Regions from separate parts of the Mus musculus genome. Here region 2 is reported to be linked to region 1. Evidence: microRNA targets listed by miRTarBase, many of them from high-throughput screens and not tested one by one. Region 1 holds a microRNA gene; the other region holds the end of a gene's coding sequence.
Evidence for each region. The annotated mature microRNA mmu-miR-1931 reads AUGCAAGGGCUGGUGCGAUGGC and lies in region 1 at 7,637-7,658, opposite strand. An mRNA with a match to its seed (bases 2 to 7 or 8) in the 3' UTR can be bound and repressed. Matches are read on the target gene's strand: a 7mer-m8 pairs with bases 2 to 8, a 7mer-A1 pairs with bases 2 to 7 and ends in A, and an 8mer does both.

Region 1 (12,245 bases):
TCTCTCCAAACTGGCACAACTGGAAGGGTTTGGGTAAATAAAAGACTGAAAGATAAAGTTTAATATCATTTTGTCTTTACTCTAAATTTAATTTGTATATTAGTAGTAGCTCTGTCCCTTAGCATGATGCTAAAATTCAAGACTCACCAGGAATTTCACAGAACACTAGAAATCTGAGCCAGGAATTTTGATTTAGTTGTCCCGGAAGAGCTGGAGACTACCCTCAAGATAGAGGTAGATATAGCCAAGCAGGCAGGCTGGCAGATAGACAGACAGACAGACAGAAGACAGACACACACACAAACACTGTGGACTTTCTGTTTCTACTCAACAAGACTATTTTTGCGGGTCAAGTTAAATCCACTGGCCTAGAACAAAAGATAATTGACAGGAATACAGTAACAGCATGCATCCAAGCAGATTTCATGACAAAGAATAAAAGGAAAGGTCAATTTGTCTTTAAATTAGTTTCATGAGTAATTCTTCTATTTTGCTTTTTGAAAGCCTTGAGAGTAGCACACAAGGGTCGTTAGCAAGAATAAATACTGTCTCAAATGTTTAGATGCCAAACAAGGGGAAACCGACAAGGCTAAGGAAGGGGAATCGACTGCAAGGAAATTTGCCTGGCCCTAAAGAAACACTTCTTCCAAAGTGTGCTTGCCTGAGGTAAATGCCCTCTTTATTCCTAGACTGCTGGATATGAAGCTGCAATGAGCCTGGTGTGGTAGTGCACGGCCTTAATCCAGACACTTGGGAGGCAGAGGCAGGTGGATCTCTGTTAATCTGAGACAGCTGGTCTGCAGAGTTCTAGGAGAGCCAGGGCTACACAGAGAAACCTTGTCTTGAAGGAAGGAAAGAAGGAAGGAAGGAAGGAAGGAAGGGAGGGAGGGAGGGAGGGAGGGAGGGAGGGAGGGAGGGATACATAGAGAGGGAGGGAGGGATACATAGAGAGGGAGGGGGAAGGGTGGAAGGAGGAGAAACAACAATGAGTATACTAGATGACTTAGTCCTATATTACACACACACACACACACACACACACACACACACACACACACACACACACATACATACATCCAGCGTGATTTTCACACTGGGCAAGAGCAGGGAGGCATTTTAGAAAAACCCAAGAGGTATGAATAGTTTAGAAATCCCATACTATTTTGATTCTTTTGTCCTTATAAATCACTGATTAACCTGAACAGGTCAGATCTCTATTATATTACCAAATACAGTGCTCACTCCATTATTTTTGAAGTAATACATGTAATAATTTTGACCTAAAAAAAATGACAGAAATATTAATGAATCAAGGCTATATAATAAGTTCAGATATTTAAAAAGCTCTAAATCTCATAAACTGTGTAAGTTTACTTTTAAATGTTACATTTTTATCAAGATGTTACCAGACTATAACCATTGCTTTATAAAATAAATGTATTAATTATAACAGACCTACACCAACAAAGGTATAATTTAAGATTCAGCTTTAATAGTCCTTAATTTTAAAAGTAGAATGCTTTTTAATTTAATTATATTGGAAAACAAATATATCTGTTGCAGGAACAATATTAAAGCCTTGTTCAATCCTGCGACACAACTCTGTACATCGTAAGTGCATTCAAGCCTGGCACTGTATACACAGCTAACAAACTAGTTCTCATCAGAAATCAAAGGTTTTCAGTTAAACAAAATTACTAGTACTGACCACTGTTTTTAGACCTTTAGAAATATTTTATGTAGAAATATGTCAGTTTTGTATTTCTAGTTTGTCTAAAAGACAACCATTTTTTGAGAGCCACAAGCCTTTTCTCTTCATTTTCTCTAACAAGTCAGTACAGCTTACATGCAATTAAAGTCTCAAAATGCCAAATTACTATCCCTCTAAGTTGGCCTAGAACCGGTTTCTAGATTACTCTCACACAAACACTGCCAACATGGTATTCTCCAATATTCAAAACCTGAAATTATTCTTTGTTTCTAGGCCAACAACTCTGATGGTATTTTACTATCCCAGTGTGGCGTTACCTAGTCCCCCAGTCCACTGAACTAAACAACTTATCACTGTGATAGTACCTAGTAATCCCACCCCCACCCCGGCAAGTCTTCCCAGTCCACTGAACTGAACAATGTATCACTGTGGTATTCCCTAGTCTCTTCCCAACCCCCAGTCCATTGAACTGAACAATGTATCAAGGCGGTGCTCCCTAGTCCCCTACTCCACTGAGCTGAACTGAGTGTGTAGATGAGATCACAGAAAAGGAAAACAGAGCAGGAAGGAGAGAGACTTAAACATCCCCTACAGCAGAATGAAGTCAGCACTACAGTAGACATAAACGTTCCAAATAACATAATGGCCACAACCCTGTCAGACCAGAATAAGGAAGATGTCAGAGGAAATGGCATTTTGGCCTCAAAAGTGAGAAGTTCTCTCCACGTCTCCCAGGATTATAATATCAACACCCATAGTTCTTCATCGCTGAAAGCCGGCTAGCTCTAATCAACGCTGCCACTTTTCTGGCCCCTAAAAAAAAAACAAAAAAAACAAACAAAAAAAAAAACAAAACAACAAAACAAAACAAAAAAAAAACAACAACAACAAACATGAAAAACCCCACATTATTTAAAAAAGAATTGTCTCAGTTTCGTTTGTGAGTTGGAAATTTCTCACAAATATATAGCTCTTATCAACCTTTATTTGTATTAGTGAACAATAATATGTGCTAAAAACAACTGTCAGCCATCAATGAAAAATACTGCAGCATTAAAAATATGCTTTGAGAAAAACAAAATGACCACATAATCTAGGGGACAGTGAAAAGATACCTTCGAATATTTTCTTCATTATTTACACACATAGAAAACTGAAAATTCTTGAACATATAGTAACAAGTACATAAAATGAAAGACAAAACAAAACACGCTATGAAAAGACAGGGGGCTGGAGAGACAGATCTGTCACCAACGGCTTCCCTAAGCACGAGGCTCTGAGTTCAGGTTTCTAGAACCCACAAGAAGAGCTGTGCATCGTGCCCATGTCTACAGGCCAGTGCTGGAGACTGTGCAGACAGGGCAGGGTGCTCAGTCTACTGCCCGGACAGTCTAGGTGAAAACATTAACTCAGGTTCAATTGAGAGAATCTCTGAAACAGAAAGAGAAAGGAAAGAAAGAGAGAGAGAGGGGGAGGGAGGGAGGGAGGGAGGGAGGGAGGGAGGGAGGGAGGGAAAAAAATTTTGAGACAGAATCTCACTGTATAGCTCAGAATGGCTTTAAAGTTGTTTGTAATCCTCCTGCCTCACCCTCCTCAGCACTGGGACTGCAAGTATGTGCCAGTATGACCAGCTAAATGATTCTCAGTATTAGCCTTTATGGGGGGGGGGATTCCTTTTCACCTTAATTAAACACCTTTCAGGAAATAATATTTTCTGTTCTTTAAATTGAGTACGAAATGTATGCTAACAATACTAATTTATAGATTTTTTTTCTATCCTAAAGATCAATTTTCAACATGAAAAATATTATCATTCTATTCTCAGTGGGTATCTGATTAAACATATGCAAAGTTTCTACCTTGCTTACAGTAAGTTATATCAAGATAAAACGAAACAAAACAATAGGTGGTGTGTGTATTTGTTGAAGTTTTCACTTTGATGGTATCATGGATTGGCTCCCAAATATTCCCAGGAGTTCAAGGGTTAAAAGCAGTCTCAATGCCACAGGGTTTCAGACAGTGGACTGTCTGGAAGGTGACTGGATCATGAAGGCATTGATCTCACAGATAGATTAAGGTATTTATAAATTAATAACCTAGAGAGAGGTTGGGAGGCAGTGGAAACTTCAGGAGGAAGGTCTAGGTAAGGCAAGCAGGTCCTGGAAGACATGAGCATGAGGGATACAATCCATCCCAGGCTCCACCTCCCGCCTCCCTTTGCTCCCCTGACAACAGGAGCAAGCGGATCTGCTTTGCTCTACCACATGCACGTTCCTCACCATGATGTTCTGTCTGACCACAGGCCCAGAAACCAGGGAGCCAAATAACCACCGAAACCTCTGAAACAAGTGTCAAAACAACGGCCTCCTCCTGAAGGGTGACTTTTCCCCTTAGGAAACACTCCTCTGTCCCAGGAGTATAAAGCTGGCCAACACAGATGGCATACGCTCACATAATGAAAGCATTATCATTTAAATGATAGAAAGTCAAAACTTCTAAGACATGTAAAATCAACGTGAACGAACACAGACATTTTGGAAAGAAAGCAAATGTACTTAAAACCTCCGTGAAAGAAGCCAGGGTGGGGAGGACTGTGGGACAATCTTGCACACACACTGCCTGTGCTTTCCTCTGACTTAGCGCGGCTTCTATGTTAGCCAGCAAGCTGTTCAGCATTGCATCCTGGTAGAGACACTATGAGCACGGCATTTTTGAATGTTAACTGGATCTTGGGTCACTATAGTGGTGGGACCCTGGGGGAAATTACCTAACCTAAGACCTCTGCTTCCTTATTAGGAAAAAAAGGTTTACCCAATACAATAGGTTTCCTGTGAGGATTTAACAAAACAATAGAGTCTAGCACAGCACCAGGCACAACTGAGGATCTTTCTCACAGCTTCCGTTAAACACTGAACATTTGAGTGGCTTCAGATTCGCGTGTTGAGACTCTCACCTACGGGTACAATGGTTTTTGGAGGTGATCTGGGCGATCTGACTAGATTTAAGCAAGGTCCAGAGGGCAGGCCTTTATAATAGTAGTTATAAGAAGAAAACCCTCTAGCCCATGTTTTCTTCCTCTACCCCCCCCCAGCACCCCCTCCCATTTTTTCTCTCATCCTCCCTCTCCACCTGCAGGCACCAAACAAAAGGCCAGAAAACCACAGTTGAGACAGGCATCTACAAACAAAGAAGAGAGCCCTCACCAAAATTTAACCGGTTTGGCACTGTGACCTCAGACTTCAGGAATCCAGAACAGGGAGGAAAAAGCTGTTTTAAAAAGCCACTCAATGAGTGATGTTTTGTTACGGAAGATGAAGTGGACTAAGATAAGGTTTATCAAAGAGTGTTTTTGAAGATTCTTTGGAAAATAAAATCATTTTCACTAAATCCAAATTAGCTCCCTCAAGCCTAGCTCCAAACCATTTAACCAGTAGGTTATGGGTCTCAACACATGAATTTGTGGGGCCATGCAATCATTCAGTATACAGTATGAACTACAAGGAAAAAAAGTAATTAAATATTAATTGTGCCCTCTGCTAGGCAAGCTATCCTGACACACTGTGGATCTGATCTGTAAATCAACCTCCTAAAAACAAGTGTTTAGGATGGCACGTTACTGTGGACCATAAAACATTAGATTTACTCTTAATGTTTATTGATTTTCCAAGTTGGCCAGCAGAGAGAGCAAAACATGGCAGAGTGAGAAAGTTATGCCCAAAACAGTTTTTTTCAGGCTCTTCACAATTCCTTTTTCCAGGTCAATATTTTACAGATGTTAAAAGTAAACACACGCACTCGTGCACGCACACACACACACACACACACACACACACACACACACACACACACACACGAAACTAAACACCAAGTGATTATACTGTGAGCAAAAGGGTAACAAAGCCATAAAGACAAGAAGAATCCTTAAAAGCCCGTCAAATCAGTCCTCTCTCCAAATAGTTCAAAGAAACTGGCAACATTACAGGTTGAATTTGCTAGTGAGCTATGGAATGAGTCTTCTAGCATTTACAAGTACTATGGAAAACACATTTTAAATACCATTACATCAGCACTAAAAATTAAAAATGTCATAATCGTTTTATAAAAATAATTCAAATACAATATTAAAAAGCTTGAGCAAAAATACTCTTTAAATTCGAAATAATCCAAAATTACTCTTCCTTTGCATGCACAAAAGGAGAGATTGTTTCTAAAATAGCCTAGAGACTATTTCTGTAAGTAGAGTTTAACATATAATGGCCTTTCTCCACCATCAGAGAAATACACTTATTCAGTAATTATCCACTCTGGAAGTAGAAAACCCATGTAGAAGAATGTCAGAACGTGAAGTTGTAATTATACAAAGAACAACAATAAAATGCCTACTATGAGACAATAACAAAGGAAACAGGCAAAGAAATGCTGTGTTCAGACAGCTTTTTAGTAGTATCAGAAGGCATCCCGGTCTCCCCTTTGGAACAGCCTCCTGGGTTGCCACAATCCTTCTCTGTGCTGGTCACAATAAGGTACCCCACTGCTCTTCAGTCTGTAGCTCCATTTCACCAAGGAAGGAAAAGGAAACAGTTTTGCTGGGAGTTGAGGGTTGAGAACAAGCCTTGCCAGAGCCAAGCAAATAATCTTATACCCCACGCCTTCCCATCACAATTGCAGGACCACACAATATCTGAAAACTAAATGTATCAAAACATACCTTAAAATCCCTGTAGTCAACAGGGCTTGTAGTCACCACAGGTGTAAGCTACAGAACAGGACACGATTTTCTGTCTTCTAGTTTTTGTAGAACCAATTGAAGCCATTAGCATCATTAATGCTACCACACTCTGAATTAAGGCCTCCAATTTCATCTTTCCTTACTGTGCACATATCTCTTCTGCTCTTTTGATAACCAACTCGTACAGGACAGATTACACTGTGTCATACAGTTAACACTAAAAGTTACTTCCTTGGGCCTGAACCCAAAAAAGGGAATAAACTACATATTTGACAAAACCCTATTTTAGGAATGCAAAAACTACGATATTAACAAGACTCTAATTCTACATTTTTTTTCTGACTGCAAAAGTAATATGAAAATTTAGAAAAATAGAGGTAAAAAATAAACGACCCACAATCCAGAAACACTTATTGGGCATACACTTTCTTGAAGTGACACAAATTTTTATTATCTAAGTAGGTACTAATAAGTGTGGAGAAAAAATATTCACAGTTTTGATACATTTATTAAGCATCAATTACTATAAAGTGACCTGTAATTTCACAAAAGTCTCTAAAACATTGACTGGGAAAGAGGAAGTTGAAAATGCAGACTAATCCCTAGCTGAAATATCTAAAATTTTAGTGTCAATAAGGACAGCACATTGTAGGATATGAATATCTTTACAGCAGCACTAACATTACTGCACCTACAATAAATGGATCTTACTTTGACTTTCTTCTTATTCATATTTTCATTAGCATTCTTATTTCCACTGTAAAAATAGTTGAAACTCCTATGTTTGCATAAGAACTTTAAAATACATATTATTGTTGTTATTATTTATTATGAATCAATTGTTGTTGGTGGTGGTGGTGATGATGTTCGTGATGTGTGTGGTGTATGCATGTGGAAATCAGAGGACAACGTTGTGCTGTTCTTGCCTCCGTCTTTGCATGTGTTCCCAGGATTGAACTCAGGCCCTGAGACGGGCACCCGTACCAACTGAGCCATCTTGCTGGCACTTGCATTGGAATTTTTTTTTTTTTTGTAAAGATTTATTTATTTATTATATGCAAGTACACTGTAGCTGTCTTCAGACACACCGGAAGAGGGAGTCAGATCTTGTTACGGATGGTTGTGAGCCACCATGTGGTTGCTGGGATTTGAACTCTGGACCTTTGGAAGAGCAGTCGGGCGCTCCTACCCACTGAGCCATCGCACCAGCCCTTGCATTGGAATTTTAAAGCAGCTTCAATTCAAAGGCTCTGCAACAGATCTTTGACGAGCAGCATTCAAAGAGTTAATGCTTCTGGCCTAGGAGATGGCTCGCCAGATAAAAGAACAGCGCTCTTCACATTCCTGTGTTCACTCACAACATTAGAAATAAAAATTAAAATGAAAGACGTCCTTAGTCATATTGTTTTCTTTTGTTTAAACCCGCTGTTTATGGAATTATGCAGATGTTAAAAGAACAAAAAAAAAAAACTGAAATGACTTCATTAACCAGGTGACACCACATTTAATACATAAGCCAATTCCTGGTGTTCACAAGAGAACAAAATAAAACCAATTAACATTCCCACTAGCAATTTTTTTTTCCTCCTTAAATTTAGTTTACACATGTTTCTTGATTCAAAGGTTTAGGTCAATTCAACTGATCAGAGGTCGTCTTCTGTTCCGTGGTTAACAACGTCAATTTCCAAGTCACTCAAATCCATTACTTTGATAGTCTTGCACAAATGCAGTTAAAAAGAAACCCAACAAAGGATTAGGAAAAAACAAACAGCAAAGTTGGGAGGCAAGAGCTGTCTCCCTTAGTCAAGCATTGCCTGTGACGTGACAGAAGCTCTGCTACCAGAAATACACTTTGCTGGCCCAAGGAATGGCCAAGACGCAAAACAAAATTTGTGACTTGTGTCTAGAGAATCAATTTGGCTCAGGAGGCGATAAAACAGGGCCACTGATGCGTCGTCTTCGATGGCCACATTAACATAAGGGAAAGGCGCCACGGATTTCAGCTAAAGGCTTTTGCCATTTTTGAAGAAGAAAAGCTAATTGTTAATGGCCATGTGACACAGAAGATCCCAGAAAGGAAAGGGTGGGAGGAAAAAAAAAAAAAAGAGAAGAGTTCAAGGCAGTTCAGGGTCAGACCAAGTCAGGCATCCTGTCATTAGCAAACGTTCCCCTAGCTGAAGGCAAAATACCGCTTACCCCAGAAGGAGTGGGTGAAAAGTAGGGGAGAGAATGAGTGGGGAACCACAGGGGACGGCGAGGTGGCAGCGTGGGGGTGATGTGGGGAAGAAAACTGGGGCCACCCAGCTGAGATGGGGAGCAGAAGCAACCGGACAAAAACACCGAGAAAAGCAACTGCGGCTAAGACAACGGTGGAACACACACACACACAACCCCCTCTTCCCGGGTTCTCTGGGTTTCCCACAGTCCCTCCGCCTCCGGTTGGAGCGACACTCAGGGGTGTGACCCGCCAGCAAGAGGGCTGCCCGGAGCTTTGTGTCGACCCGCTCCCCCACGAGAGGGCTCCTCCCCCGCGGAGCTGCCCACCCACCCGCGCGCAGCCTCCCGCGTCTCCAAGGAGCCCGCAGCGCCGCGTCCTCGCCCACTCCCGCCGCCCCGCGCCCGCGCCTCCACCCCGGCCCCGGGGACCTTTGTGTCTCGGGGGGACTTTCCGCCTCTTCCCCTCCCGGCGCCCCACGGGGCCAGCAGCCTCCCCAGGAAGCCTCGATCGGCTGCGAACTCTCAGCGGCGGCGCATGGAGCCCCTCCCCCCAGGTCCCCCAACCAGCTCCGCACTCCCGCAGCCCACGCCGCGCGTGGACATGCGACCGACAAGATCCCCACTCGAGCCGCCCGCTGACAGGCGTCACGATCCCTGCCCAGCCCCGCTGCCAACTCACCAGCAAGTGCGGGGACCGCGGGCTCCGGACCGGCGGGCGCGCAGAGCGAGCGAGCGGATGCAGGTCCGGTGGTGGCGGACGCGCCGAGGCGCCTCAGGCTCAGGCCTCCCCCCACCCCCCAACCTCGCGCCTTCCGCTCCGCGAGGGCCGCCGGCCGCCTCACGCGTGGCAGAGCCCCCCGCTCAACATGGCTCCCGGGCCGCGGAGCCTCGCGGACGGCCCAGTACTCCCGGCCACCGAGCCGGGGCGGAGCGAGGCGGCGGGGCGCGGGCTGCCGGACTGCCGGGCGCTGGGTAGACCGCAGCCGCCGCTCTCGTTCGTCTGAGTGCGCGTTGCTTTCTCTCGCTCGGAGGCTGCGGCTTGACGCCTCCGCCTGTTCCCCGGAGCGAGCGAGAGCGGGGGTTAGAAAAAAAAAAAGAAAAGAAAAAAGGAAAAAAAAAAAAAAAAGACTTTTATTGAAACGATCCAACCAGCGGCGGCGGAGAAAAGCGACCGGCTGCGGGAGCTTCCCCACCCCCGCCTGCACGGCTCGCCTGGGGCAGCGCGACCCCTGCCGGCGGTGGCGGCGACGGCGGCATGCGGGGCGGAGCCTTGCCTGGGGGTGGGGCTTATGACTGGGGCGTGGTCTGGGCGGGGCTGGGGGGTATTCCCAGGAAACTTCAAGCGTGGCTTCAAACGCGGCTGGAGAGCAAGGGAGACCCTGTCCGTGGACAGAACGCTGAACAGTGTCTGACCATCGCGATTGGTGAGGAACCGATCGCCACAAATCAGCCCCTCACTGTCCCCTCGCAACAATAAAACTCTGCTTGAAGTATTCCAGGCGCTACTGTACACAGGATGCCTGCCTCAGTACAGTGCTTCAGATGACCCACAAAGAAATACCTCGGTCGATTGCTGCAATTTTCTTCTGTTCTGTGACTGGATATGCGTGGCCAGTGCAGTAATCACCCACGCACAAAGCTTTGATTTCAACCACAGTGTTTTTAAATGTTATTACACTGTTGGCTCTAGGCTGGGGGGGGAGGGTGGAGGGGGGAACTAAAATGGTTACAATAAAACTGTGTTGTGAAAGAGTCAATGCTAAGTTATAGGACCCAGAAAGAGATACTGTTGCAGTGAGTTAGATTCTGTTGCTTGAAGGAGGCAGGCCAAAGAGGTTGGCCCAGTTTCTGTAAATCTTTTTACTTTCTTCTTCCCCAGTTAGGAACAACTGAATGTGTAGACAAACTAAAGTGATCCTGGCCCATTTCTTTCCACAAGTAGGGATAGAAGCTTAAAGTAAAAGCAGACTTAAGTGGCAGAGGAAAATACTGAGAGAACTGAAAGAAGACAGTAGGGTCCGGATGTGGACACCCTAACCAAGAAAAGGTTAACGGTATAAAAGGCCAGTAGGGTGAAGGTTGGGGTTTTTTGTTGTTGTTGTTGTTATGTTTTGTTTTTCTGTTCTTATCACCAGGAAGTGCACGATATATTTTAAATCTCATTATCTACTAAGGACTTCTGAATCGTATCTTTTCTGATTGATGCGCCTTTCCTTGAAGATACTTCCTGCCCTTCTGTCTAGAACTTTGTCGGACACAGCTGGATGTGTTTTCTACAGCTCATAAGGTTCATATATATCAACCGGAGTTCTCCTGTGTCTCCAAAATTACCAGAACTATAGGTTAACAATAATTATCCTCTACAAAGACTTCAACACTTGTTTACCCTATAAAAATGTCCATATTTATACTTCCCTTCAAGAATGAGTGTGTACTTTTGAACAGCAGTTAATGATTTTTTTAATATATGTCTAATTCAGGCAATTTTATAATATGTTAGGAGCTAGCATCATTTCAGAGTTCTTTGTAAGTTAAAGAAAAATATATGTTACACATGACCTACTTTTATACCAAACATTTTCACATGCTTGCCTTATATTCAAAAGCAATTGTGTGGGGGTGTTGTTGTTGTTGTTCTCTTAGTAAATATTCAAAATAGTAAAAAAGGGAATCTACATAATTGCACCCTGAGTTTCTGCATCTGAAATTCTTCCTTCACATCACTGGACTGGAATTAGCCCATTAGAAACCAAAGATAATTCTGCCTTGGCCAAAATTCCCAAGAAATATTTCCTCTGGTATAGCACCGTAGTCGTAATTTGATCCTTAGAATCGAGGTGGTTATTGCTTGATCTATTTGTTCTTTCACTTAAAAACAAAAAATTGCTAACTGCATCGTTTGGACCAGGTACCATGTTAGACCTTAAAGACTCAGAGGTGAAGATAGATTTGCCCTTGAACTCTGTCAGTGGAAATGAGCAATATACGCACAGATCACTTAAGGAACCAATGGGTTAATGCAGAGACAGGAGAGACAAACAAAATCAAACAGCCATGGTAATGAGATTGAGGAAGGAGGTGGCAGGATGCTTCAGGTGTCTACGATGAGGGAAACAGGAAGATGAGCAGAGGCCAGAAAATGCTGACAGACCTTTTCACTTAGTATGAAGTTGTTAGGGATTATTTATATTTGGGGTTTTTTTGTTTGTTTGATTTTGTTTTGTTTTTCTTTTTTGTTGTTGTTTTTCTTGTTTGTTTGTTTGTTTGTTGTGTGTTTTTGTTTGTTTGTTTGTTTGTTTCAAGACAGGGTTTCTCTGTGTAGCCCTGGCTGTCCTGGAACTCACTCTGTAGATCAGGCTGGCCTCGAACTCAGAAATCCGCCTGCCTCTGCCTCCTGAGTGCTGGGAGTGCAGGGATTAAAGGCGTGCACCACCACGCCCAGCTTGTTTTGTTTTCATTCTTCTTCTTCTTCTTCTTCTTCTTCTTCTTCTTCTTCTTCTTCTTCTTCTTCTTCTTCTTCTTCTTCTTCTTCTTCTCCTCCTCCTCCTCCTCCTCCTCCTCCTCCTCCTCCTCCTTCTCCTCCTCCTC
Region 2 (12,245 bases), not on the chromosome of region 1:
TTTGTTTCAAGTTGTTTGAATCCATGCTAGTCTATTTGGACTTAGAAGGCCTTTGGTGAACTTGCTCCTCTGTGGGGAAATGAGGTTTGAGTTTTCAAGAAAATCCATCTGGCTTTGGTTGAAGAATATATTGTATAGACTGGGGTTATGGACTTTGTCATAGAGCTTTCCTATACAACCTCAGCTCCACATGTGGACTCCTCCAGATGCACACAGCCTAAAGTGGTCGTAGGCAGTTGCTGTGAAAACTCATAAAGCCAAGGGATACATGGTGCTGGACAGTAAGTTGAGAAAGATCATTGACAAGTAGGGGTAGGAGTACAATGGCACATGCCTGGAACTCCAGTGCTCTGTGCTAAAACAGGAGGATCACCAGGTGAGGCCATTCTGGGACACCTACATAGTGAGACCCTCAAGAAAGAATGGAGTCTCTCAAAGAAGTGAACAGGAGTCTTTATACCATTTTTTGGGGGTGTGATTAAACTAAGGGAATCAAAATGTAGATTATATCAGGTTAGAAAATGCATATCAAGAAAATGAAAGACATCCCAAGATTTGAATATGAGATAGTTCTTATTTTACTGTGGGTGGGGTAACAGATCAATTGATGGTGATGAGTCTCAGTCTTCGATGTAAATTGCAACTGCCATTTTGTTCTTATAACTATAGGAGTCCAGCTTGCCGAAGATGACCGACACTCTCACATGACACAAGGCCACTCATCGAGGTCCAAGAGAACTGCCTACCCAAGCACCAGCCGAGGTGAGTGACAAGCCGATCCCACATGGAGAAAAATCCATATTTCACATTCATAAACACCAAAGGAAAATGCTATCCCGAACTTAGAGACTAGGGAATTACATATGGGGGTTTCTTTCCAGGTCTCAAACCCATGCCTGAGGCCAAAAAGCCATCCCACAGGCGTGGGATCTGTGAGGACGAGTCTTCTCATGGAGTGATAATGGAAAAATTCATCAAGGATGTGGCTCGCAACCCCAAATCCGGAAGAGCAAGGGAGCTGAACGAGCGTCCTCCTCCAAGGTTCCCCAGGCCTAATGATAACTGGAAGGACAGTTCCTCCAGCAGAAGAGAGTCAGTGATCCAGGAGAGGGGTTATGAAGGGAGCGCATTTAGGGGCGGCTTCCGGTTCAACGCAGACCTGGCTTCCAGAAGCAGAGCTCTAGAAAGGAAGAGGCGTTACCACTTTGATTCTGATGAGCGGGGTTCGGGCCATGAGCATAAAAGCTGTGTGAGGAAGAAGCCTTTTGAGTGTGGTGCTGAGATGAGACAGGCTATGAGCATGGGCAACCTGAACAGCCCTTCCTTCTCTGAGTCGCAGTCAATCGATTTTGGGGCCAACCCATACGTGTGTGATGAGTGCGGGAGGCAGTTCAGTGTCATCTCTGAGTTTGTTGAGCACCAGATCATGCACACTAGGGAGAACCTCTATGAATATGGAGAGTCCTTTATTCATAGCGTGGCTGTCAATGAGGTGCAAAAAGGTCAGGGTGGGGGGAAACGCTTTGAGTGTAAGGAATGTGGAGAAACCTTCAGTAGGAGTGCTGCCCTGGCAGAGCACCGCCAAATCCATGCTAGAGAATATCTTGCAGAATGTAGAGATCAGGAGGATGAGGAGACCATCATGCCTAGCCCGACCTTTAGTGAGCTGCAGAAGATGTATGGCAAAGATAAGTTCTATGAGTGCAAGGTGTGCAAGGAGACCTTTCTGCACAGTTCCGCCCTGATTGAGCACCAGAAAATCCATGGTAGAGGCAACTCAGATGACAGAGATAATGAGCGTGAACGCGAACGTGATCGTCTACGTGCACGTGCACGAGAGCAGCGTGAGCGCGAACGTGAACGGGAGCGTGAGCGTGAGCTTGGGGAACCCTTTCTGACCTGTCCAAACTTCAATGAGTTTCGGAAGATGTACAGGAAAGACAAAATCTATGAGTGCAAAGTGTGTGGGGAGAGCTTTCTTCATCTCTCATCCCTGAGGGAGCATCAGAAAATCCATACTAGAGGAAACCCATTTGAAAATAAGAGCAGGATGTGCGAGGAGACCTTTGTCCCTAGTCAGTCTCTCCGACGGCGCCAGAAAACTTACAGAGAGAAGCTGTTCGACTTTAACAATGCCAGGGATGCACTGATGGGAAACTCAGACTCCAGCGAGCATCAGAAAAACCGTTCCCGAAGGAACTTCTTTGAGGGCAGAGGATTTGAGAAACCCTTCGTTGAATCTCAGAAGAGTCATACTATAACAAGACCACCTGAAAACAAAGACGATGACAAGCCGTTCACCATCAGTGTCAACCCTAATGACAAGCTGAAATTCCCCATCATGGAAAATGGCTCCCAGGGCAAATCCTATGAGAGGTCTGTTATTCATAGCTTGGGCTCCGCAGAAGCTCAGAAGAGTCATGGTGGACTGGGGTTCAGTAAACCAAGACCAGTGGCAGAGTCTAGCACCCAGAGCTCAAGCAGCATTTACTACCCCAGAGCACACTCTGGAGGCAACACCTATGAAGGAAAAGAATACAAGGACTCTATCATCCATAGCTTGCCAGCTCCTCGACCTCTGAAACGTCATAGAGCAAATGACCATATTCAATGTGATGAGGGGGGAGAATCCTCCATTTATATCCCAGATATTATTAATAAGGGAAGGAAGATTCCTGCCAGAGAAGATGCTTATGAAGGAAGTAGCAGCAGCAACTACCACACACCAAATGTATCCCGTGCTGAGCCTCCAAGTCTTTCTGGAGAGTCCCATGACTCTAAGCAGGATGTCACGTTTTCAGTTCCCAGCTCAAGTGTTCGTGAACACCAGAAAGCTCGTGCCAAAAAGAAGTACATTGAGCCCAGGAACAACGAGACCTCTGTTATCCACTCCCTACCTTTTGGTGAGTTGCTTGCAGGTCACCGTAGGGCAAAGTTCTTTGAGTGTCAGGAATGCGGGGAGGCCTTTGCTCGTAGGTCTGAGCTCATTGAGCACCAGAAGATTCATGATAGAGAAAGACCTTCTGGAAGCCGACATTATGAGCGCTCTGTCATCCGCAGCCTTGCGCCCAGTGACCCTCAGACCAGTTATGCCCAAGAACGTTTCATCCAAGAACAAGTGCGTAAATTCAGAGCGTTTGGACAACGCTCAACTACCAGCAACAACCTCAGTGTACAGAAAATCTATGCCCAAGAGACATTTAATGCCGAGGAGCCCCATGATAAAGAAACTCATGGTCAAAAAATTCATGACAAAGAGCCATATGGTAAGGAGCCCAGTGGCAAGGAGCCCCATGGTGATGAGCCCCAGGACAAAGAACCCCTTGATCAGGAGATGCGCAGTGAAGAGCCCCATGATGATAAGCCCCATGGCCAGGAGCCCCATGATGATAAGCCCCATGGCCAGGAGCCCCATGATGATAAGCCCCATGGCCAGGAGCCCCACGGTGATGAGCCCCATGGCCAGGAGCCCCACGGTGATGAGCCCCATGACAAGGAACCCATTGATCAGGAGATGCGCAGTGAAGAGCCCCACAGTGAAGAGTCTCATGGTGATGAGCCCCATGGTGAAGAGTCCCATGGCCAGGAGAAAGTTGAAGATGCTACCATTCAGGCCTCAGTTTCTGAAGAGCATCAGAAAGATGACGCTGGTGATGCAATCTATGAATGCCAGGACTGTGGGCTGGGCTTTACTGATCTCAATGACCTCACAAGCCACCAGGACACCCATAGCAGAAAGGCTCTGGTTGACAGTCGTGAATATGCACATTCTGAAGTTCATGCCCACTCCGTCAGCGAATTTGAGAAAAAATGCTCTGGAGAGAAACTATATGAATGTCCAAAATGTGGGGAGTCTTTCATTCACAGCTCGTTACTTTTCGAGCACCAGAGAGTTCACGAACAAGACCAGCTGTATTCCGTAAAGGCCTGTGATGACGCTTTCATCGCTCTGTTGCCCGTGAGACCAAGGAGAAATTGCACTGTTGAAAGGAATCCTGCCGTTTCTGGGTCAGCCATTCGATGCCGTCAGTGTGGACAAGGCTTCATTCACAGTTCTGCCCTAAATGAGCACATGAGACAGCACAGAGATAATGAAATAATGGAACAGAGTGAGCTTTCAGATGAGATTTTCATTCAAGGCCTAGCCCTCACTGAGTATCAGGGGAGTGAAACAGAAGAGAAGCTTTTCGAGTGCACAATCTGTGGGGAATGCTTCTTCACTGCCAAACAGCTCGGGGACCACCACACCAAAGTTCACAAGGATGAGCCCTATGAGTATGGGCCCTCCTACACCCATGCCTCCTTTCTCACCGAGCCCCTCAGGAAGCACATCCCACTGTACGAATGCAAAGATTGCGGCCAGTCCTTCCTAGACGACACTGTCATCGCTGAGCGCATGGTGTTTCATCCTGAGCGAGAAGGTGGGTCAGAAATAGTAGCTGCCACTGCCCAAGAGGTCGAAGCCAATGTCCTCATCCCACAAGAAGTACTGCGAATCCAGGGGTCAAATGCAGAAGCTGCTGAGCCCGAAGTGGAGGCTGCAGAGCCCGAGGTGGAGGCTGCAGAGCCTGAGGTGGAGGCTGCAGAGCCTAATGGAGAGGCTGAAGGGCCAGATGGAGAAGCTGCTGAGCCTGATGGCGAGGCTGAGCAGCCCAATGGAGAGGCTGAACAGCCAAACGGTGATGCTGACGAGCCAGACGGAGCCGGGATCGAAGACCCAGAAGAGAGAGCTGACGAGCCTGAGGAAGACGTCGAAGAGCCAGAGGGAGATGCAGATGAGCCCGATGGTGCAGACATTGAAGACCCAGAAGAGGAAGGAGAAGATCAAGAGATTGAGGTTGAAGAACCATACTACAACTGTCATGAATGCGCAGAAACGTTCGCTTCCAGCTCAGCCTTTGGCGAGCATCTGAAAAGTCACGCCAGTGTGATCATCTTCGAGCCGGCCAATGCTCCTGGAGAGTGCTCTGGCTACATTGAACGGGCCAGCACCAGTGCAGGTGGTGCGGAGCAGGCAGACGACAAGTACTTCAAATGTGATGTGTGCGGGCAACTCTTCAACGACCGCCTCTCCCTTGCCAGACACCAGAATTCTCACACTGGTTGAGTAACCAGGCTGAAGAAAAGAAGAGCAAAGCCAAACCTTCTTCCCAGAACCAGACCCTTAATAAATCACAAAGAGAGCCTAAACCAACCCATAATGTCTATAAGAAATTCACCTTCCTGTATACATACCGGACTTCACATCAAAGACTTTCACTCTCATCACAGACTGAAAAAAGAAAAGACATTGAACGCAGGGACTCTTTCAGTTTTAGCTGTTCCCTATGGAACATCAGTGTATATTTGGGAAAGCTAGAGTGAACATCTACATCTTCCATTTCATCTAAGTAACTAGATTGAGGGAAAACCTAGTGACAATTCCAGACCACAGAGGTTGCCCCAGTCGACTGTAAATGATACCCCTTTCATACCCTATACATAATGATTCCTGCCATGTATATAAATGAGCAAATCAGTGATACATATATTTGGATTTAGTGTGCTATAGAATTTACAGTTTACTCTACAGAGCTACCTAGCCTGGTACTCTGATTTTTTCCCTGAGGAGGAAGAGAGCAACAATTTAGCATATATTTGTAAGTATTGTCCATGCAGAAGCTTTTCTGTGCATCATTTGAACCCCATTAGTATCCTTTCCAGTAATGGAGTGTTCTGTCCCCTACCTCTTAGATAGTCCTGTGAAGGTGTGGGTGTGAAAGATCGTGTGTCTTTGAATCCTGGCTGTGTGGAAACAGGCATTTTAGCTTCTACAGCCATTTGGTGTGCACCCAGACCCCTTGAGACTGATTGTGTAACCCTTTACAATATATGGATTTGTCTCTGTGACCCAAATCAACCCATCCCTACATTTATATACCTTACAGTGGTTTTCTTGCAAAAAAAAAAAATGTTACATTTGAGGTGTTCTTTAAGGTTTGGGTTTTTGTTTTCTAACCAACTCATCGTGTGTTTGATAGTGAATTCATGAAACCTGAAGCTTTTCCCTGTAAATCTTAATGTCTTTGCCTTTAAAGAGTGGGTGACAACCATCGCTAGATCACAGTAGTGCCTAATGAAAGGTTGGGAACCACAGGAGAGGCTCTTACATTGTAAATAAGGAAGCAAACTGACAACCTTTCATTAGCTGCTGTGTGCTTCCTGCCTTAAGTGACAAGTGGCAGCGTCGCTTGAGTCACCTGTGTGGTGTTGTATTGTGCTTGCCACAAGTCAGTGTGCTCCCTGGGTGCCCAGGAGCTAGAATCCTTAGATCTTTGTGTCTCCAGACTTAATTCCCCTGTTCTCTATGTGTCTGTCAACCCCAAGTCTATCGCATTTTAAGAAAAGCAAACACACACACACACATACACACACACACACAAAGCTTTCTTTATAGTTAATCCTAGCTTACTTAACATGGACTCAGGTTCCCCAGCAGCCTTAAGTTTTTTTGTTACCATCGTTCTTTCTCATGGAGTCTCCTTAGTATTTCTGAGCTTTCCATTTAGTGTGCCATCTGTCTCCATGTCACCTGATGTCACAAACTGACTTCCCAGCTTGAGATTTTCTGCGTCCGATACACGGACTGCGTGCGCTCCTTTACTTCCCCTCCCCTCATGGCTATAGAAAGACAATTTTTTGGCCTTCAGTTGGCTGGGGAAAAAAAAATTTAAAAATTTAAAAAATTAAAAAAAATAAAGCGGATCTGTAGCCGAAAGATCGCAAGATAAGTACAGATCATCTGAGAACGTGAACAGAGTTTACCTGCTGGAGAAAGCGGTCTGACTCTCAGACTTCTAGATCTGTAGATCCGGGGCTCATGAGGGAGTGTGCCAGAGCCTCAGTGAATGCCAAAGTCTTCAGAGGTTGGAGACCTAAAGGCAAGAAATAGAAATGAGTGAGCCAAAGAAGGGAGTTCCAAGATGACAGCAGATCTAGGAAGGAGACCAGACAGACTAAAGAAGATACCAGCAGCAGGGATTGGAAGGTCAGGGTGGTAAAAACAAATTAGAAAGAAGTGTCCTGGAGAGTTGGAAGAAAGGCCTTTTGGATGGCTTCGTGTAGGTGAAGACCAGCTGCATAGAGAGAGCCCCAGGTTGGAACTGACATCCAGAGAAACAGAGGGGCAATGATTCACTGGTGAGGCTCCCTTGAAATGGAAGTCAGTGTCATAGCCATCTGGGTAAATGTGGGGACTCGGTATCAGTGACAGACAGTGTCACCCCCACTAGACCCTTTTCAGAAAGTGACTCATCAAGAAGTCTGAGTTGAGTGTCCATTCTAACTGTAACCAAGTGAGTAGATCAGGAACAATTAAAGTGCCAGACTATGGAAGAGTAATTTAATCAAAGTGCCCTGGATTCTTATGCAGTTGTTCAATAGTGATAACCACAGAGAGTTGTGAAGTAGATATTCTCCAAGTATGAGATGGAGAAAGCAGGACACAAAATCATATTTGTACTACACTTATAACTGTTTTAAAATGTACGCTTATAGTCAAAAGCTATTGTGTTGTTGTAGGCTTATAGTCAAGCATTATTTTCTTAAATTTCTAGAATGTTCTTTATGGTAGTGTTATTCAAAAGTTAAGAATCATATTTCCATTGTGAGCATAATTGGAACTCTTTATGAAACACTTGGAAAATAACAGAGAAGTGGAGAAAGATAACCCATGTCCCCACCATCCAAAGATAGATATACTCTTTAATACCTTGTTTATTCTTGTTGCTGTGCACAGACTTATATATTACAACTGTGTCAAAATGTGTATTCAAGATAGCTGTTCTAGTATTTCCTGTGTAATTACGGTAAAATACTTTGAAGTTTCCCTATGTTCCTTGTAATAGTCGCCTGATAATAAAGTTTAGTATGTAATATCACCACCATAAGCATACTATGTACCCAGTGAAAATTGGAAAATAAGTAAAATTGAACAGAAAACTTTGCCCACACTCCCCATACCCAACAACTGTTAAGATCTTCATCTGTGTCCTTCATTTCATGTCATTGCACAAATTTGTGATTAAAACAGTGTTAAATAGATTTGCATAATGCCTAAAACAAACAGAAATGTGGGAAACAATTAAAAATAGTGTTTTTTTGGGGGGGGGGTTCATGGTTAAATGTTTTGTTTAAGATTTCTTGAATAATCTTCAGTGTTTGGGTAACAAACTTTACGTATGTACTCTGCATCACAAATATAAGGCATACTCAAAGAAAACTGGGAAACTGAAGTGAAGTCGAGAAAAACTGTATTTCCAACAAACTTCTGGTAACGCCTGGATCTGTGCCCCACTGGTGTGATTGTGAGGTTTTCCATGACAAGTGCGTAGTGTCAACAGCAGGAAGAAATGTGGAAAGGTGTGGAATGGCAGGGCAGTTGTGGCGGAATTACAGTGAGCTGTATTTTCTCAGTTTCTTTGAGGGTTCTTTGTCATAGTGTTCTAGCAGGCTGCCCGTATTGCTTATATATGCAGTACGTGACCATTCTAGTAGCCTTGAAGATGTGCAAATGTAGAAGAGAAACTCACCCATATTGTCATTACCCAAAGACTGTGTTAACATCTCCATTTGTTTTCTTTGTCTTGTTTCTGTGCACAGGCTTTTGGTTTGTTAATATGGCTGTAGTTGGTCTATCTTGTAATAGTGTCATCAATAAAAATAAAGTTAAAAATAAGATAATTCTCAGTCTCTTCCTTTGTCCTGTTTATGTGTTTGGGGTTGGTAACTTTGCAGGGACTTGTCACTGTTGATAAAATTATACATCCAAAATGTTAGTGGCCCCTTAGCCATACAAATTTTTGATCTTCAAATCATATTCTTAATTAAAAAAATAAGCCTTTGTGTGTATGTACACGTGTGAATGGATATTTGTGTGTGAGTACAGACATAGACTCTCATGTCCCAGTGTGTGTGTGAAGGTCAAATAACAGCCTCAGGTGTCAGCCCCACCTTCCCATCATTCGAGAGAAGGCCCTTTTCAGTTCACTATGTACCCCCCAGGATAGATGTCTTGCAAGTTAAGATTTCTATAAGAGTGTTAAGATTACAGAAGCATGCAACAGCTGCAGGCTTTATGTGGGCTCTGAGATATAAACTCAGATTTTAATGACCCTGTTATAAGTGCTTTGCCCATGAAGCCATTTCTTCACTTTGCATTATTATTATTATTATTATTATTATTATTATTATTATTATTATTATTATTATTAAAGATTGTATACTCCATCAATCATTTTTCAGTGATCTGTGGATTCTACCTGAATCCTAGCTTTAACTGCTCCTTTTAGACTAAATCATACTTAATCCTACTAAATCATAACTACCTAGTAGCGGTTTTAGATTTTATTATAATCACAAATATATTTTGGTTAGTTTATAGGATATTATTAATTAGAAATATGAGGTTCCATAAAATGAGGGTTCATGAATCCTTACCATGAGGATAATAATATTAGGGCTTAGCATCACAATGAGGCATTTATTCCAGACTTCTGCAGAAGATTAAAAGTATTTATTATATTTTAACCCAGATTCACCACTGGGAACATAACAGTTCATCTGGTTATCATAACTAATGTATGAGAGGTAATTTGTGTGTGTGTGTGTATGTGTGTGTGTGTGTATAAGTATGTATTCACACACTGGAGCCATGCTAGCACACAATCCAAAATGGTTGGATTATATAGAGAAGGGCAGCTAGGGAAAGGGCAGTCCAGTAGGGGCTGGGGAAGTTTAGGGTAGGGGGCAGGGTACAACAGCCAGGAGGGTTCCTCTTACTTCCCCAACCAGTAGCCAAGTGCTGGGATTACAAGTGTGTGCCACCACACCTGGATTTTTATGTGAGTTCTGAGTATTAAACCCATGTCCTCATGTTTGAATGGCAAGTATTAAACCAATAGGGCTACCCCTCCCCCACCTTTTGAGAAGTAATTATTAAGCATTCTTGTAGCTTCATAATTGAATGGGAAAGAAAGAAGAAATATAAAGGGAAGGAACATGGAACATGACCGGTCCTGGATTTCAGCACCAAATTAAGAGAGAGAGAGAAATTCATGTCTGCTCCTAGGTAATGGTGGAAGAGAAAGTTTATTATAGATATGTGGGAGAGCATAGAAAGAGGCAAGGACATTTGGGAGAGTCCAGAGTGGATATGACCTTGGGACGTGGGGGGAGAGTGGCAGAGGAAGAGAGAGGGAGAAAGGAACACCAAGAGTACCAACCAGGAGGGAGGGGGTGGAGGGGAGAAAACAAAAAGAATCAGGTAAGCAAAATGGTTGGATTATATAGGGAAGGGTGGCTGGGGGAAGGGCATCCAAGACCCTGGGCTGGAGAAGTTTAGGGTCGGGGGAATGGGGTATGCCCGTCAGGAGGGCCCTGTAACTGGTAGGGACTAAGGGATGCTGAGAGAACCTGGCAGCATCCACTTTAATATGCTAAATAAGCACCTCTGCCATTTGTCCCAGGGTTTGAAACCTAACAATAATGACCACACATTTTAAGCTCAGTACCTAACTAGATCCCTGCTGGTGACCTCAGTGGAAATGCGACATGAATCCATGGCTGCTTCATCTCTGATCCCATAACTATCAAAAGTGATGGCCAAGTCACTCCACTTTTTCTGCTCAACCACCAGAGTGCACATTGCTCTACAGAGAGAAGAGTACAAATGTCTCTGAATTCCAGTCACTCTGCAGAGTTCTGAATGTTCTCATAGTTCTAAAACTTTGTTCACATTAAAATGAAGTCTCATTGAATTGTGGTTGCCTCATTCGTACCAATCTTGGTTGCTGTGAAGAGACACCATGCCCTTGGCAACTCTTATGAAAGAAAGCATTTAATTAGGGCTTGCTTACAGTTTCAGAAGATTAGTCCATTATCGTCATGACAGGGAGCTCGGTGGCACGTGGCAGACACGATGCTGGAGAAATAGCTGAGAGTTCTACATCTTAACCCACAAGCCGCAGGAAGAGGGAGACACTGGGCCTGGCATGGGCTTTTGAAACCTCAAAGTCTAAACCCAAGTGACACACCTCCTCCAATGAGGACACACCTACTCCAACAAGGCAACGCCTCCTATTCTTTCTCATGTAGTGTCACTCCTCAATGACTAGGCATTCAACTATATAAGCCTGTAGGGACCATTCTAATTCAAGATATCACAGCATCTGGTCAGACCTTGATTACTCATCCTATAACAAGGGATTTCAGCATGGGTCAAGTCAAGAGATCCATTCTTTTTCAAGATTTTTCTAAAGAGTATCCTGATGAAAAGTAATAGAGAACAGAAATGAAATGGTTGTCCATTGAGAACGCATGATCAATACTTGTACTCCTAAGGAGTTCTTTCTTCCCCTACCAACACCTTATTTGAAGGGGTAATTATTCCCTACCACCATATTTATTGCATGAGATCTGATGTCTTTCTAGCATCAGCTGATGTGTGCTCATGGGTTCCCAATGTCCAGTCATTATCAAAAGACACTAGTAGTTAATTAGGTAAGTGTCTTAGGGTTCTATTGCTGTGAAAAGACACCATGACCAAGGCCACTCTTTTTTTTTTTTAATTAATCATCCCATTCGTTTACATTTCAAGTGATATTCCACTTCCCAATTATCCCTCCACAAACCCCCCATCCCACATCTGCCCTCTTCTCCCTCCCCTTTGCCTCTATGAGGGTGCTCCCCCACTGACCTACCCTCTCCTGCTCCACTGCTCCAGCATTCCCCTACACTGGGGCATCAAACCTCCACAGGACCAAGGACCTCCCCTCCCAATGATGTCAGGCAAGGCCATTCTCTGCTACATATATATCTGGATCCATAGATCCCTCCCCTCACACTCCTTGGTTGGTGGTCTAGTCTCTGAGAGCACTGGGTGGTCTGGCCAGTCTATGTTGTTCTTTCTGGGGTTGCAATCTCCCTCTGCGCCTCCAGTCCTTCCACCAGCTTCCCCACCGTGGTCCCTGAGCTCCAAGCATCCTCATCTGCATTGGTCAGTTGCTGGGCAGACCTCCCAAAGAACAGCCACACCAGGTTTCTGTCAGCAAGTATCTCTTGGTAACAGCAACAAAGTCTGGGTTTGGTGTCTGCAGACAGGATGAGTCCCCAGGTGGGGCAGTCCCCGGATGGCCCTTCCTTCCTTCAGTCTCTGCTCCATTGTTTTCTCCCTTTGGACAGGAACATTTCTGGGTTAAATACTTTGA

Region 2: the mRNA of Peg3 is a reported target of mmu-miR-1931. Seed matches in the 3' UTR shown: 7mer-A1 at 5,935-5,941.

Annotation. Positions count from the first base shown.
Region 1 is chr10:93,158,292-93,170,536 of GRCm38, reverse strand. Mir1931 (microRNA 1931) reads right to left here and starts at 7,752; the gene lies at 7,634-7,752. Cdk17 (cyclin-dependent kinase 17) reads right to left here and starts at 9,661. Exons shown (of 17, transcript NM_146239.2): 1 at 9,337-9,661.
Region 2 is chr7:6,700,368-6,712,612 of GRCm38, reverse strand. Peg3 (paternally expressed 3) reads left to right here. Exons shown (of 9, transcript NM_008817.2): 8 at 670-762; 9 at 882-6,653. The coding sequence ends at 5,107. It also overlaps Peg3os. Among named protein-coding and RNA genes, the nearest start is that of Zim1, 10 kb to the right of the region's middle.